3 linked regions of the Schizosaccharomyces pombe genome follow. The gene in region 2 interacts genetically with the main gene of each other region. Each region holds a gene or a part of one and is shown on either strand. Other genes may lie near its edges.

Region 1 (6,932 bases), on a different chromosome or scaffold from region 2:
CATCAACATCAGATCCATTGACTTCTTTAGCATCGTCATTTGTCTGATTCTCTGTTATCATGCCAGGTATATGAGACCATTGCTTAGTCTCAATATCATATATGTCGATGTCGTTAAGAACATAAAGACATTTTGTATCATCATTAAATCCCATACCACCAAAGAATATTAATTTGTTATTCCATAAATCCCCTGAATGGAAATACCGTGGTATCGGCTTTTGATTTCCTTGATATTCAACTTGCTTCCAGGAACAAGTGTTAAGATCAACTACATACATATCATTAACAAGCTGCGCATTTAATGCATCGCGTCCTCCATATACAAAAGCCTCGTCTCCATATTTTATAACTGACTCCCCAATCAGCGGTTTTGGGACATTATTTGAAGATAAACTAAATGTAGAAGTAAAAATGTTTGTTGAATTTCTCAAAGATATATTCCTTTTTACTTCTGACATAGATATAAACTGTTTAGCAACTCGACGTTAATAAGAAATATCAAAAAAGTGATTTTTCCTTCCACATAAAAATTAATAATTACTGAAATGCAAACAGTCAAAAAAGATTTATGCAATAAACAAAGCAGCAAATTAATAGCCAAAAATGAGAAGCATAAAAATCATTGTTGTCCTTTTGTTTTAGTGCATATTTCTTCCTGTATTGCACTATCGTAGCGTTAACTGATATAGTGAAGTTAACTTTTATGCACACCTAGATTTTAAAATTCGAAGCACTTGAATGAATAAATATAAATATACACTGTGATAAGCATATTATAAACCTTTCTCTTAACGTTTCTAAGATTCATCAATATAGATTCGGTAAATAAATAGTCTTCATTGCGGTACTCAATTAGATTGTATTTCAGGTATAAACACAACTGGTAACGTACTTACACATGGAATGATAATATATTAATATTAAAATTAGCAAAACTTTCGTTTAAAAAATATTGATTCCATAATCCCAACCTTATTTATTAATCATTAAGCCATAAATACAGAAATATCATAAACAAGTAATATAGTCGTGCACTGGGAAATGCGTTTAATAGTGTTCACTGCGTTAATGGCTGCTTTGGTTGCCATCTAGGTGGAGGCATATGCGGTTTCGAAATGGGGGATTTGTGCTCATTGATGGGACCCTGTGGTACCTTCAGGTATTTCAGCAGGTCTTTTGCTAGTTCTTTAACAAGCACAGAATCACTTGTTTGGTTCAAATTTGCAACCACATCTGGTAAACCACAATGCGCAATATAAGCAACACTTTGGCTACTAGCTTCACACATTGATTTCATAATTTGAAATATGTTTAGGACCACAATCGGCTTGGTCCCCTTATGAGTTAACTTTTCTTTAAATTTCTGGAATATTATAGGCTGGCCATAAGAGGCTGCCAATCTTGGGGAAATTTGACAAACCCTGCCCAAAGTATCTAGCATTCTGTTTGAGGAAGCTGATTGAGAAATACAGAACACCTTTAACACTAATTGTACGTTTCTCTTCTCTGCCAAAACACGTTGTACTTCACGGAGTTCAAACTGCAACCAAGATGCGATCGTATCAAATACCGCAGATTGCCAATTAAGATCTGATAATAACGAGAGAAAAAAATCTAAGCATTTATTTTGCCAAAGATAAATTCTCGACACTGGACCAGCCTGTGGCAAAGCTAATAATATCGGCAGCGCAAACTCCTTAAACAGTCTGTCTTTAATAATCACCTCTTGCAATAATGGAATAGCACCAGAAATAACAGCCTCTTCTTGCGATTTCTTATCTAGCTTACACACATTGAATAAAGCGGCCAAAGCTTCGCTTCTAATTTCTTTTCGTCCTTTCTCAATTTTGCTGTCACCGAGAATATGTGTCAAAAGAGGTATTATATGAACTTTCCTAAGAAGCGACAAAGATGAAGGAACCATTGAAAGTTGCTTGAAAAACTGTAAGGTAATCGCCATATCAGAATGCGGCAGATAAAGCAGAATACGCAATATCCTTCGAAGAGCACTTTCGCAAAGAAGTGATTCCTTAACATAATTATCAGCCTGAGATAAAGCCAATAAAATTTCACATATACGTGTTAATGACATTCTTGAAGAATCATCGTCAGTAGCCAAAGCTTTCAGCATGGCTTTGGTCAAGGGCTCTAGTGAATCATTTACAACCATCGTACAGATATCATTTTTTGGAATGTAATCCTGTTGTCTCAGTAATTTCCATATTCCTTCTACGCCAACAAAAACAAAGTCACGGTTCGTTCCATAGTCCTCTTTAATAAATAATAAAAGCGAATTCAGACCATTTGAGCTCAAAAACATTTGTAATGTCAAAGCAGAAGTTCTATACATCTGTTGAATAAAGATAGCACTTTCATATCTAAACTCAAAAGAGTGTTCACGATTAGAGAATGACAACATAAGCGGTAAACCTCCAGCAAAGCAAACTTTTTGTAAAGTTGTGTGATCATCGAATGCAACCTAACGTTAGTAAAATCACGCATTAAATATCCTTACAGTGTTAATGAGCTTTAATAACAGCAATTGAACATCAGGCGTTTTTATTTCGCGCAATGTCTCTAAAAGTGGAAGGATACCATGCGCTTGTATTATCTCTCGTTTTAGAGAAAGATCTTCACTAAGTATAGAAGCCTATTGTCAGTTAAATTATCAATATAAAAATATGCACTTACTATTTGCGAAACAGTTGTATCCTTCGATCCGATATTCTTGTCACGTAGTGAGCCTAACAGACTGGAAAGTAAGGAAGCTAGATGCGTTCTCTTATCTAAAGCAATGTTGTTTTCAATATCCAAGTTTTCTAAGTTTGTTTCAATAGAGTCAAAGATATCCGATTCTTCCCCATCCTCATTTTCTTCATTATTCCACGAGCCATAACATTTGTTTAAAACCAAAGTCCCCAGTCCAGTCTCCTTTCTCAATCCTTGAACTTTGATTGAGGATGTAGGGAAAATATCAGTAAATTCACTATCTCTGGGTGTCTCGACAAATTTTTCAATTCCGTCTGGTATATTCTCTTTAAACTCTAGATAATTAGTTATATGTTAGTATCAGATACTTACCAGTTGACAAGTATCTTTTATGTTGCGGAGTTTTTTGATGATCTATTGACCGGTTGAGAGCGGGCTAAAAAAAAGGTTAATTATTTATTTAAAATCATTAAAAGCTCTAGAAAATCGAGCTGCATTATTTACCTTAGAGGGATCAAATTGGGCTTTGAGAGGAGTACTCAACGGTGATGCATTAAAGTTGTTTGATTCAGAGATTTGATCTGAATTAAAAGCATGGCGAGACTTCGAAGGGGATGATGTTATGGAGCTGGAATTATTTTTTCCTTTAAAGTTACTGCAAAAATCCATAAAATGCTCAGATTTCTTTAAAACATCGTCACTGATTTTAAGGGTTCCTTGAAATTCATTGTCCCAGTTATCATGATCTAAAAATGTTAGAGTAGTTAAAAAGTATCATAAAGCTACCTGGGGACTCGGCAATTGGTGTTTTTGGAGACTCAGGCATGTGATAAGAAGACTGCCTGCCAGAATGAAGAGTCGGATTGATTCTGTTGGAAGTAGGCTCGATAATAGCTGTCAAAGTGCTTTCTTTCACTCTTTCATTATATTTTTGAACCTCGTCTATAGCGTCAGAAAATTTAGAGGAGGTTTGGTTCATTATCACCCAAGGATGTTTAAGAAGTTTTCTGGTCTTAATTCGTAAATTTGGGTCCTTTTGGAAACATTGCATTAAAAAACTTTTAGCAGCCGAAGAAATATTTGAAGGCAAGGGAGGATGTTCATCTTTCACCATCCGAAAAAGAGCGGACGTAGGATCTAAATCATAATAGGGAGGATTTCCATCTAACAGTTCAATAACTGTGCAGCCAACACTCCAAATATCTGAGGCTGTTGTGGCGCCTACAAGCTCTATAACCTCGGGAGCCACTATATAAATTGTTAGTAATGTTATAACTATACGCTTAGAAAAGGCTTACTCCAATAGGGGCTTCCAACAACACTATGATCCTCTAAAGCATTAATTTTCGTCGCAACCCCGAAATCTGCTAACTTGATAGTGCCATCTTTAGTAGTAAGTATATTGGCACCCTTAATATCACGATGGATAACACCCTGATTATGTAGATAAAGTAGCCCTTGTAATACTTGAAACGTATATAAGGCCACTAGGTTTTCTGGAATCTTTCCAAAGTTTTTACAAATTGAGCGCAACGATCCGTTTTCGCAATATCTATATATCGTTAACTTGAAAACAATTTTTTAAAGAAAATCACGTACTCCAGAATAATGCATAGAGAATCGTTCGTCTGATAAGATCCCCTATATTTAACAATATTTGGATGCTACCACGTTTAGTATTTGGCGACCATTATAAACGAATGAGTAACATACGTCCAAATTTTTAAGCAAATCAATCTCCATCTAAAAATTGTTAGAGAAAAATAGTTGAGATCCCTTCATACCTTAATGACGGAAAGATCAGATTTTAGCATTTTGGATAGTTTAACTTTTTTTACAGCCACCGTTTCTCCATTCTTTATATTTAGACCACGGTATACTGCACCGAAGGCACCCTTGCCCAAGCAATCCCCAAGAGTCTGAATATGTTATTGAAAATCCAATGGCTATTAACATTAAATACTAGCATACGATGGAAGATGCTTGGATATTGTGCATGACTATTGAATAAGTTACAAATTAAAAATTGAATTTATTTGTAATTTTGAATGAAAAGACAATTTGGTTTTGTTTACGATGTAGCATTTGCTGCGTTTGAAGAAGTAAGGACTTTATAGTGTACATACACATTTAGTACGGTACCTGAACTTGCATGTTATAAACTCAAAAGAAGTAAATAGTAATAATTAAGCTATTTATAAAATCATTAATAAACAAAGATTCTCGTATAAAAGAAAAAGCGTATTATACAGACATATAAAAAATATTGGCAAGGATGGAACTAATCCGTTGGTTAAGTAATGTCAGTGGAAACACCATGTACATAGGAAGAATGAGTTCATTTTAGCTTGGAAAGTAAAGTAGAAAAGACAGTGATTTAAACTACGTTAAACAAGTGTCTGATGGTTATGAATCCGAGGAATCAAACTTTTCCTTGTAATGGGTTTAGAAGCATCAAAATCAACTTCCTGTAAACTCTTATTTTCATGATCGGTAGAGAAGTTACTGCAACAATCCAGTTTCCGTACCCATGCAGTACCTAAAATACTATCCAACGACGGCCGATTCTGGGAATCAGGATTCAGTAAACTTAGTATAATCTTCTTAGCACCTTCAGGTATATATCTGAGGGGCTGCAATGTAGGTATTTGTTTAATGACTTCGGTTTGGAAACTGGATTCATCAGTTGAAGAAATACCACAAGTATCTGTAAGGATTGACATATACTTTGAGTAGTAAAGATCAGTTTTCACGGAAGTTTTAAATGGAAAGTATCCAGTAAACAGAACTTTAAGCAAAATACCACATGACCACCTATCTGCTAAAAGACCACAATATTCTATCAATTGAACTATTAGTACGTCGTTTTTGAAATAGGATAGAGCTCGTCTTGCTACACAATTTATACACATAAGACTTACCATTTTCATGAAATGCTTCTGGTGCTAGATATGCCAAACTTCCAACAGCACCCGATACGAAACGAATGGATTCGTTATCACCAGGATTACCCACAATTTCGCTGGTACCAAAATCGGTGAGCTTTAACAATCCATCCCTTCCGATTAAGATGTTTTCCGGCTTTAAATCTCGGTGCGCAATACGTTGAGATTGCAAGTAAGCTACTGCTTGAAGAATTTGCTTTAGATAACAACATTTGTCTTCTAAGGTCAAAACTTTTTCTTCAATTTGCTTAAATAAATCGCCTTGAGGACAGTACTCTTGAACCAAACAAAACCCAGCGGATTTATTAAATACGCTTGTCAAAGTCACACAAGGGCAGATAACTTTCAGAATATTAGGATGGTCCAATTTTGGTTGGATTGACCATTCCCTTAAAAAATAAACCATTGTATTCAATCTTTTTTTATGCGATGTTTTCGTTTTCCGATATACTTTGGCAGCATAGTATATCTTTGCGTCGGTGATTTTATCTCTGTGAGTTACAACCTTGATTGTAGAGGTGGCCCCTTTAGCTATTGATTTTAGATGCTGAAAGTCTAAGCGAAATCTTATTTCGGGTAATATACGCTTCAGTGAAGGATCTAATCCAATTGCGAAGTCAGACATTCCAATAAACGAAGGTTGAATTGAATGAACGGAAAGTAAGCTAGTATTACTGTCTAAGTATTCATTTTCTAACCATGGTGCAGTAATTGTACTTGGCTTTATAACGACGGAAGACTTCTTGGTTGTTGATTTAGAAACATTTATTGAAAAAAATTGGAAGAACTCTTTAGGAAATCTCCCAAAAATATTTTCAATCGAAAGACTATTCTTATTCTCTGAATTCCTTTGAATTGCTGAATTGTCCACGAAAATTGTCCCCTGGCGAAAAAAAGGATAATTAGTCATTAGTGACAAGCCGCTGAAGCTAAGAAGCCTAGTTACGACTTCAAATTGATTGATTTTTTATGTACTTCTTCTTTATTTTCTTACTAAAAAAAGAGTGTTTTCAGAACAACCTCATCATTTATTCTGTTTAGATAAAGAGTTACGTGTTAGCAACCTCAAAATTGCATAGTTGTAATCATAACGTCTTTGAAAGAAACGAAATTTCCAAAATCATATGCTCACGAATGCCTAAATCGATGAACGACCGTTTACGCATCTACGACTCAACCTGAAAGACGTAATGATGAGCATTGGATTGATTCGACTCATTACTCAGTAATCAACAGTTAAATGAATTTGTAAATTAATATTTTATTTAAAAATACC
Region 2 (4,833 bases):
GCTGCTATTTTTATCATGAATTTCAAATTGGTCTTTATAGAGATGCAATACATAAACATCATTTCTATAATAGTACTTGTTTTAACGTCCTTGGCTTGGTTTTTATTTAATATCTTTATAAGCGAGCATTATCCGGACAAGAATTTATATCTTGCTAGATCACAGTTTCTCCATCATTTTGGCAAAAATCCTTCATGGTGGCTTACTATGCTTTTTGTAATGGTTTGTGCTTTAACAATTGATATTGTTGCCCAAATGTTACGAAGGACTTTACGTCCTACGGACACCGACATATTTGTGGAAATGGAAAACGATGCCTTTGTCCGCTCTCGGTTTGAGCAAGAGAGCGGTGAGTTTTTACAAGCCAATGCACCATCTGTCGATGAAATTGAACAATATTTAAAAAGCCGAGATTAGGCATTTAATTCATTAATCCAATTCTAGTATATGAAACTTTCTTTAGACGATAGTCAGTTTACTGGTAAAATGTTAAAATTCTGGGGTTCCCACTGTTCAATTAGAAATTGTCTATTAGTTATGGGTCATGATCCGCATTTCATAATTATTGTTTACTATTTTGGTTGGTTTTCTTGGCGTTAACATCCTGTTGTACTTATTAATACATGTTTTTTACTCACTCTTTTTTATCTTTTCCCTAATAAAATCTATGCATTAATTTGGAATTCTTATGCAACGAATTTAATATTTACAGAAGTGCATGTAAGATTTTATCAGTAGGGACAACATTAAAAAAAAGTAATTGGTAATATTATTAGTTATGCTAAAATAATGTAAAAGAAGGTAAACATGAATTAACGATAAAAAAAATTCGATAACAATAGTTAGATGCTCAAAGGACAATGAACAAAGTAGCTATGGAGTTTCTTGCAGAAGTCTTACAATGCTCCTTTCATCGTTAAATAATTGAATTTTTTGTAAGTGTACCCAAGGAATGCCAGATTGGTTTGTTCCAACGTCTGAGGGTCAACAGAAGCAGGTTGTTGTGTGACAGGTTGTTCAGGAACTTGTTCAAGCTCATCAACAGGGAAATAATGTGTATCGGTAATAGATTTCAAATTCGGAATAAATGGAGCTGCAGTTTCTCGTATATGATCCCAATCGATTCCAGTAAAGAAAGGATGTTGCATTATTTCAATAGCACCGCCACGACCTAATCTGTGTTCTGAATCTGTCATAAGTCGGTCCATCAAATCACGAGCTTCTATGCTTAAATGTATATCATTTGGGAAAGTCAGAGTCTCACGCCAATTGATGATTTTTCGATAAGTTTCATGAGAGTTTTCACTGCAAAAGGGAGGCCATCCAATTAAGCACTCGAACATGATAGCGCCTAAACTCCACCAATCACAATCTTGACCATACCCTTGTTGCAAGAAAATTTCTGGAGCGATATAATCAGGAGTACCCACAGTGCTATAGGCCATCACCCTACGGTTCTTTTTCCAAGTAGCCATTTTGTCCTTGGAAGACATTGTAAGCCAGATAGCATCTACCATTTGACCACGTTTGACAGTATTTCCTGTGCGAGGTTTCATGTAAGAGGCACTCTGATCTTGCTTGTAAAAACCAGTGGAAAGTCCGAAATCAGAAAGTTTTATATGGCCATCCCGGTCAATCAGTATGTTATCCGGTTTTATATCCCGATGAATATAACCCATTCGATGAACATCAGCTATAGCCAAAACGCACTCAGCCATGTAGAAGCGAGTAACGTCTTCTGAAAAAGTATCATAATTTATTAGCATGGTCATCAAATCACCGCCTGGTAAAAACTCCATAATCAAGTAAAGATACAGTGAATCTTGAAAAGCATAATACAATGACACCACCCATGGGGAGTCAGATTCAACTAATAAGTCGCGTTCTGCTTTGACATGAGCCAGCTGGTCACGTTTGAACATTTCAGTTTTAAGCAAAGATTTCATGGCATAGATTTTACCCGTATCGAGTTTCTGAACCAACCGAACCTATTTAATTAGATACCAAAAACATAAACAATTATGCAAACGTACCTCGCCAAATGCACCTTTCCCAATAACTTTGATGGTAGAAAAATCTTCTAAAGAAAGCCGTGTACGACGAAATCGAAGAAATTGAGACTCTTTTTCACCAGATGCTCTTAACTGCCTATTCTTTCTCTCCTCAGAACCCCTTTCGGTTGCTAATCGTTGCTCCAAATTGATACGTCTAAAGAGAATTAGTATTTATACCTAAAAGTAAATTAAACGGAAGCTAGCATTATTAATTAACATTTTCGAAACAAGATGAGTAAGCTGTCTAAGATTTTATAAACATTCGAGATTATGCATTTACTGCAACACGCGAAGTTGAGAACGGAGAAAGAATTAATAAAAGCATCGTCTTTGATACTTATCCGATCAACGTATAAGATGGGAATACTAATTGAGGAATGTGAAACAATGCTAGAACCCTGAATAGTAATGCTACTCGTACCTTTGGTTGCGCTCTACAGCATGATCAACTGCCACCTTGTAATAATGTTCAATATATTTCTTTGTCTTTTGGACTTTGTCTAAAGTTGATTTCGGAAATAATGAAGGGTTCCGTTCAAAGTGTAAGTAATCATTCTTATCCATATTGAAAGAAATGTTGCAATAAATGGAATTTTTACACTAATTAGAATCAACTACAAGGTCAACGAATTAATTAACAAAAAGAAATTGTTAAAAGATTGAAATTCAATCGCTTAAAACATGAATTAACAAGACATGCAAAACAGAAATGAGACAGTGATAAATCGGATATGGTAAATGACAAGTCCTATTATGCTTTTTTAATTATAGGACTACTGCCAGCTAAGGTATAATCCGATAAAAATATGTTAAACTGCGATACTGGAAAAGCAAGTACTTCTGCAGTTTGTTATATAACTTCAACGATCGCTTGCGATAAGCTCCGCGCATTTCCTAACCCTCCCTGTTCAATATTACGACGCTACTAACTGAAGCCAAGAATCTTAGCTTACGAAGATTTTAGAATCTGAATTGAAATGAATAGTCAAAAAAGACGGACGGAGACATCAATTCGTTCTTCACCATAAAAATATTTGTGTAATAAAAACTAAAGGTGGTGGATCGAACTCTACAGGAATAGTTATCTATTTAATTTGGTGTTTACTCTTCATTTAATAACTTCACATTATTGAAACTCCCATTTAAATATTATAGACAAACAAGTAAACAAAAAAAGCCTAACCGATTTGTATCCAAAATGCAGCTAGCCAAAACGTTGACAATTTCACATAATTTTCAAATCTTTTTTGTGTTTATTTTTTCGAAACCTGAGAAATATTGTCTATATTAATAGGGGTATGTTTAAATGCGCGTTTGCCAGGTCCAACTCCATAACTACTTGCAACTTGACCATTTCCTCTAAGTTGGTACTTGTAAATAGTTAACCCATCAAGACCCATTGGTCCTCGAGCATGAATTTTGTTGGTGCTGATGCCAACTTCGGTACCGTAACCATAACGAAAACCATCGGCAAATCTGGTTGAAGCATTCCAATACACACCAGAAGCATCAATTCCAGCCATGAATCTGTTAGCAGCTGCTTCACTAGAAGTGATAATGCAATCCGTGTGTTTAGAACCATGTGTATTTATATGCTGCATTGCGGACTGTAAGGAAGGTACAGTCTTAATAGCAAGAATCAAATCAGAGAATTCAGTGTTGTAATCTTGATCGACAGATGGTTCAACTAGAGCACTAACTTTTGGCATATCCTTTAAAACCTTAAGAGAAGCGGGATCACATTTTAATGTAACTTTTGCTTCAGTTAAAGTTTCAGCAATTTTAGGAAGATGAGAAGATAAAACAGCTTCGTTAATTAACAAAGTTTCAATTGCATTACATGCTGCTGGATAATCAGTTTTTCCATCCAGAACAAGTTTACTAGCCAATTCCATATCAGCATCCTCATGGACGTACATGGAGCATAGTCCTGCAGCATGACCTAAAACAGGAATTTTTGTGTTATCTTTTATATGGCGTACAAGATTAGTGCTGCCGCGGGGAATAACCAAATCTATGTACTCATCCAATTTTAATAATTGTGATACCTCCTCGCGACTCTGAACAAGCTGCACAGCAGCCTGTGGAACCTTACTTTTGCCCAAGGCAGAGCGAACAACATTAGAAAGTGCAGCGAAAGACTTTGCTGATTCCGTGCCTCCTTTAAGTACAACAGCATTACCAGATTTGATAGCCAGGGAAGTAATATTAATGATTACTTCAGGTCTAGCTTCAAAAATGACTAGCAATAAACCTACAGGGCAAGAGACTTTATAAAGGTCCAAACCATCGTCAAGACTACGAGCATAAGTAACACGACCAAGGGGATCAGGCAAACTTTTAACATCTAAAACACCCTGTACCATGGAATCGTATTTATCAGATGAAGACAGATCCAATCTTTTAACCATCGATGAACTTAGTTTTCCTGATTCAGCCAAGAGCTTAGCTGCTTTCATATCTTCAGCATTTGCAGCTAGAACCTCTGACTTTTTTATGCGCAGTTCTTCAACTATTTTATCCAATGCATCATCACGGTCTTCCACTGATAATGTCTGTAAAATGTTAAAAGCGTTTTTCGCTTCCTTTACATTCTCTTCAAGAGACATGCTAAACAATACTTATACAACTTTGAGTAGAGGCAATTGGGAGATTTAAATCAAGCGAATTCTTATTCTTAGAATGGCTAGCTCAAAAAGACTACTTTTTGTAGTATTTTGGTTGTTTTTTCTAATGTATGAATAATGCAAGTTCGTGATTTATTTAACACCCTTCAAGT
Region 3 (4,765 bases), on a different chromosome or scaffold from region 2:
CTACAGTCTTCAAAACGAATGTTGTAACCAACTTCCTCGCCCAAGTCAACGTCCATTTCGTCAGCGACACGTTTTGCAACGGACATAGCTGCAACACGACGTGGTTGAGTACATGCAATTTGTGTATTTGTTAAATGAGGCAATTCATCATAAAGAACAAACTGAGGAATTTGTGTTGTTTTACCAGAACCAGTTTCACCAACGAAAACAATAATTTGATTCTCGTGATAAATTTTGAGAAATTCTTCTCTTTGCTGGTATACAGGAAGCTCTCTTCGAGTTTCCAAAATCTTAAAATAATTTTGACTAAAAGGTTTATCATTAAAAAAATTGTTTGGTCCTTCTTCAGCCTTAGCTGCTTGTGCAACAGTCGTAGCACGTCGCGTCAACCCTTTCGAAGAAACAACTTCCTCAGAATCATCACCATTGTTTAAGTGTGCCAAATACGGGTTCTTTGACTCTTGCCTTAGTTTCTTCTGAGCTGGTTCCATAGTCGAAAATCGCCCTTATATAAACCCTTCCCACAATTCTGTAAATGGCGAAGAACACAGTGCATACTCCGTACTACAAGCAGTTAAAGAATTTTCCAACAAACCATCTATCTTAACATTCGTTATATAAAATTGAGTGGCATAACGCAATGCGTTGTTAATTTTCAAGTTCGGACTAATATAATACATTAATGAAAATTAATTAACTAGTATAGTAAGCAAATGACAGGGTATTTCAGTTGAATGAATTTGCCTGTTAATTAATTGTGTAAAAAGGAATGTTTAAGAACAATAGTTAAAATTCTGGCAAATCGTTTAAGACAATAAGTATAGGAGCATTACTCCTTCTTTCTCAGCAAAATCTTGATTGTAACAGCTATCCTAAAACTAATCGACTTTTGTTAAATTCAGATTTAACTAAATCCAAAAAATTTTTATAATCAAAACTCCAAAAAAATGGTTTGAAGACCCGTTTTAAACCATAAACAATAATGTAAAAGAAGGACTATTAATTTTTAATACATATTACACGAGAACGCTTTTCCGGAAATGTTGTGGACCTCCGTAGAAGACAACTTGATTTGACTTCCATTCCGCAACACCAGATAGGCATTGGCACACCACTCAAACCAAACCCGCATACCGTCCGTCAATCGCCACATGTGAAATTCCAATTGGCTGTTTTCTGGGACGTACATGGGTTTCTAGGAAATATTAGTATACAGTGCAACGTAAAATATAGTAACTTACCTTAATGGGCATATAAATAGGGAACCATGAAAACATGTCAGGAGACTTCGCTTCCATAGTTGCTGGCATAATTGAAAGAGAAATATCCTTATATAATGTAGCTTCAAAATATCCTGCAAAACCGTGAAGGATTCCAGGACTAGAGGCCTGAAAACGAACACTAGCAAAACGTTTGTTATGCAAGTTTTTAGTATAAACCTCACTATCTTTGTTTGGGTGATGGAAGGACCAAAGGGACTGAAAACGGAACTCATCATCTGCAGCCAAAAAGTCAAATGAGTTCATTAAAACCACGTACTGTCTTTCAAAAGCATTTGGGTCATTCATATTACGAGCTTCAGACCATAGCTTAGGAGACATAATAGGAGTAACATAGGAGATGTAAGAAGATGGAATGCATATCCCAGTTTCTTCATCAAGCACATGTTGTACACCATCTAGACACTCCGGACTAAGTTCATTGTCTCCCATACTACCCAAAAGTTCACTAACAAGGATGTCAATTTTATAATCAGGATTCCATGTTCTCATATCTCCAAATACTAGAGTAACTTTGCCAGCCCAATCCTGGCGGTTTCTCATCAATAGCATGGAAAAAGCGTTAGGATTTTTCTCAAGGGCGATCATATCAACCGTTCTAGATGAAGAAATTGCCGCACGTAAAGCACAGTCGACTAATGGACCTCTTCCCGCACCCACAACGGCAATTCGCGTGACAGAAGATTCGTCTCTATCCATCAACGCAGAAAAAATTGCTTGCTCATACTGGGCGTACTTAACGGGATCTCGCTCAAATATTTCATAAGTAATGTTTTCCAAATTGTAGCTCAATGGTTGAAGAGGAACTTGCAGATAGTCTTTATAAGAATCCGCGAGATCTTCTACAAGTGGAGCTGGAGGCTGTGAATCAAAGAGGTGCTTCATATATATGCTGTAGTCGGGGGAATCACCTATTTTCTCGGGTGCGTCATTATCCCAAAGTAAAATTCGAGGATTGAGACGTAGATATAAAGCATAAATAGCCCTCAACTTACGACCAAGTACTGGATAGCCGTTGGGATTAGGAACGAAAGCCATACATGACATAGTAATCATCTCTATCGGTTCCGCGTACCATCGATTTACTAGCTCGATTGGGGGTGAACAAGCGGGAGGTAGCTCTAAGGCCACCTTCAATCTAGGGTGATAACCACATGCTGAGCGAATTGTGTCCCACATTTTCCATGTCTCAAAATAGTCTTCATGACCACTTTCGATTGCCAATTGTACCAAGAATTTTAGATTCATTGTTGAGTTTAAAGCAGAAGATACAGCTCTCGCATAACGCATAACGTTCATTGGTGAAGTTGGACCATTTAGGATGATTGAAGATAACCCACAATAAGAAGCATATGATGCTTCCTTTAATAACACTTCTTCTGATCGATCAGCGATTAGTGTGTCTTCAGAATCTAACTCCAGCCAAGCTGAGGATAAACCGACCACCTTGTGCACATTTTCTATAGTAAAATTGGTTAATATAAATTTTCTTTCAAATTTGAAACATACCCTCAGGGTGATAAGCTACTTCATCGTCGAGGAATTCCTGCAAACGCTCTGACGGAGCTAGAGCTTCAACTCGTAGCTTTAAACCTTCACCACTTAACGGAACTCCAACAAACTCAAAACCCTCTTCCAAAGACAAGGAAATGGTCCCCTCTGAACAAACTATTCCTAGAGTGGGCGTTTTAGAATTCATCGGCGGAACTGGCAATGGGTAAATACTGTACTGTGGAATACGGCCATCCCGCAATAACATACGGTAAGGGTTGGGACCTTGTGTTGCAAAAACAAAAAAAAATTGTTTAGTTGAGTAGCTAGCTTATTGTTTGTGAGTGTTTTAAATTTCAACTTGGTTATTTAATTAATGAATTTGATCTATTAAAACTTACATCTTTTCTAAGAAGAAAAGGCTAATAACTGCTATTCTAGCATAAAGTAATTAATTATTTTTACTATATAGTTTTCTGCGAATCAATCTTGTCAAAAATCACTTTATTATTTCTAAACAAAGTCGATATGAAAGAAAGTAAAGTAAGCACCCTTTTGTCAATGACAACCGAATTCGAAAAAGATATCTTAAAAGAGTCATATCAGTTATTTTGGCTTCGCAGTTATTGAGGTAAATGAGTGCGTCAGATAAATTTCATGAAAACTTCATCATTCATGAGGTAAACTTTTGCATTAACATCAGTAAAAAGGTGAAAAGATGGTATAAAAATCAGTTCTAAAACAGCATTGAAAACAGTGCAAAAAATATTCATCATTAACCATGGGTAGTAGGTTCAGCGCTTTGTTTATTGACACTTCCACCGCTTTGTAATGGACGAGGATGCTGCATTCTGTTCATTCGGCCGCCTCGTCCACGTCCACGATTGGTACGCATTCCAGTTCCATGTCCCTCCATCCGGTTATTTCGATACCATCCTCTATTTTGACGATAGTACGAATCATCACGCATGATATTCACCCGCACACCTTCTGGAACTTTGATGCTTCCAAGGGCCTTTGAAACAGCATTCTGGTTTTCAACAAATACATATGCATAGTTAGTGGGGTTTACGTTTTGAGGAGCTTGGGGACTTTTGTAACGATTGAGTGAAGTACGAATTTGAATATTCGTAATCAGGCTGTCTGTCCCGTCCTTAAAGTAAGAACGGGCTTCCTCTTCAGAATTGCAAGGGGTAATATGAAATCCACAACGTTCATAACGCTGCTCACCACTATATTGACGGAATTCACGATCGTTGCCCTTCTGCATATCAGTTCTTCTACCTTCTTGTGCTTGAGATCTTGTAACATTTGCAGCATTCTCTTGTTCAAGTATGGTAACCTCTGTAGTCGTCTCACCTAGCTCGAGATTTCCAGTACCCTTAGTCACCTCTTCAACGTCAACTTCCTCTTTCCCTCCAATTGCTGGTTGTTCTTCTTCATTAGGACTAGGCTTCTCTGCTACGCCAGAAATGGGTTCTTCCTCGGCAGCAGGTGGTCCCGACTTCTCTTCGATTACTTCATGAGTCTCAGCCGACTCTTCTGTAGTATTCGCTCTTGACATTCCTAGCTCATCAGTATGTTCCTGATCGTACCCTTCAATCTGTTCTTCTTCGGTTGGTGTAGCCGTAGCTTCTCTGTTCTTGGTAAACTGTGCTTGAGATTCCACCAACCTATTGTTAGCGTAATAATAGGTACCGGTATTTTCCGAAGTTGAGCGTGGAATGTGAGATGCATAATTTTCGTTACGACGTGAAGCCATGCGACGATAGCCTAAATTAAAGCCATGAGATTTGCTTTCCACTTGAACATGCCCATTTTCGACGACAAAAACAGTCCATCCAAAGGAAGCATCTAATAAATTGAAGTTCCATAGGTTTTTAAAAGCAGTGCCGGGAAGCATGTTATTCATAGCATATGAGTTAGTTGCATCGGGCATGCGAGAGACTAGGCGAACAACATTGTTTATTAGATGATGTTGTTCAGGGGTAACC

The links. A genetic interaction does not mean that the proteins touch.
Region 1: of orb6 (region 2) and cdc7, a mutation in one rescues a mutant of the other (synthetic rescue), as found in Schizosaccharomyces pombe (one study listed by BioGRID).
Region 3: of orb6 (region 2) and skb1, changing one enhances a phenotype caused by changing the other (phenotypic enhancement), as found in Schizosaccharomyces pombe (one study listed by BioGRID).

The regions. Positions count from the first base shown.
Region 1 is NC_003423.3:3,221,722-3,228,653, forward strand, and holds cdc7 (serine/threonine protein kinase SIN pathway Cdc7), read right to left. Parts: upstream 4,785-6,932; 5' UTR 4,710-4,784; coding exon 4,683-4,709; exon of another isoform or gene 4,631-4,682; coding exon 4,496-4,630; exon of another isoform or gene 4,455-4,495; coding exon 4,425-4,454; exon of another isoform or gene 4,376-4,424; coding exon 4,311-4,375; exon of another isoform or gene 4,264-4,310; coding exon 4,010-4,263; intron 3,960-4,009; coding exon 3,498-3,959; intron 3,458-3,497; coding exon 3,216-3,457; intron 3,148-3,215; coding exon 3,084-3,147; intron 3,047-3,083; coding exon 2,694-3,046; intron 2,653-2,693; coding exon 2,518-2,652; intron 2,482-2,517; coding exon 1,060-2,481; 3' UTR 630-1,059; downstream 1-629. Other genes in the region: Ras1-Scd pathway protein Ral2, read right to left, coding at 1-460; serine/threonine protein kinase Ppk24, read right to left, coding at 5,099-5,550, 5,633-6,566. UniProt on the Schizosaccharomyces pombe protein: Protein kinase essential for cell division. Plays a key role in initiation of septum formation and cytokinesis.
Region 2 is NC_003424.3:1,006,224-1,011,056, reverse strand, and holds orb6 (serine/threonine protein kinase Orb6), read right to left. Parts: upstream 2,795-4,833; 5' UTR 2,619-2,794; coding exon 2,476-2,618; intron 2,209-2,475; coding exon 2,034-2,208; intron 1,989-2,033; coding exon 897-1,988; 3' UTR 739-896; downstream 1-738. Other genes in the region: dnf1 (P-type ATPase), read left to right, coding at 1-417; gamma-glutamyl phosphate reductase Pro1, read right to left, coding at 3,308-4,663. UniProt on the Schizosaccharomyces pombe protein: Interacts with pak1/shk1 and coordinates cell morphogenesis with the cell cycle. It is essential for maintenance of cell polarity and is involved in mitotic control.
Region 3 is NC_003423.3:2,275,489-2,280,253, reverse strand, and holds skb1 (protein arginine N-methyltransferase Skb1), read right to left. Parts: upstream 3,000-4,765; 5' UTR 2,980-2,999; coding exon 2,790-2,979; exon of another isoform or gene 2,741-2,789; coding exon 1,242-2,740; exon of another isoform or gene 1,196-1,241; coding exon 1,007-1,195; 3' UTR 630-1,006; downstream 1-629. Other genes in the region: ATP-dependent RNA helicase Prp43, read right to left, coding at 1-491; SPOM_SPBC16H5.12C (uncharacterized protein), read right to left, coding at 3,547-4,765. UniProt on the Schizosaccharomyces pombe protein: S-adenosyl-L-methionine-dependent protein-arginine N-methyltransferase that can catalyze both the mono- and symmetric (type II) dimethylation of the guanidino nitrogens of arginine residues in target proteins.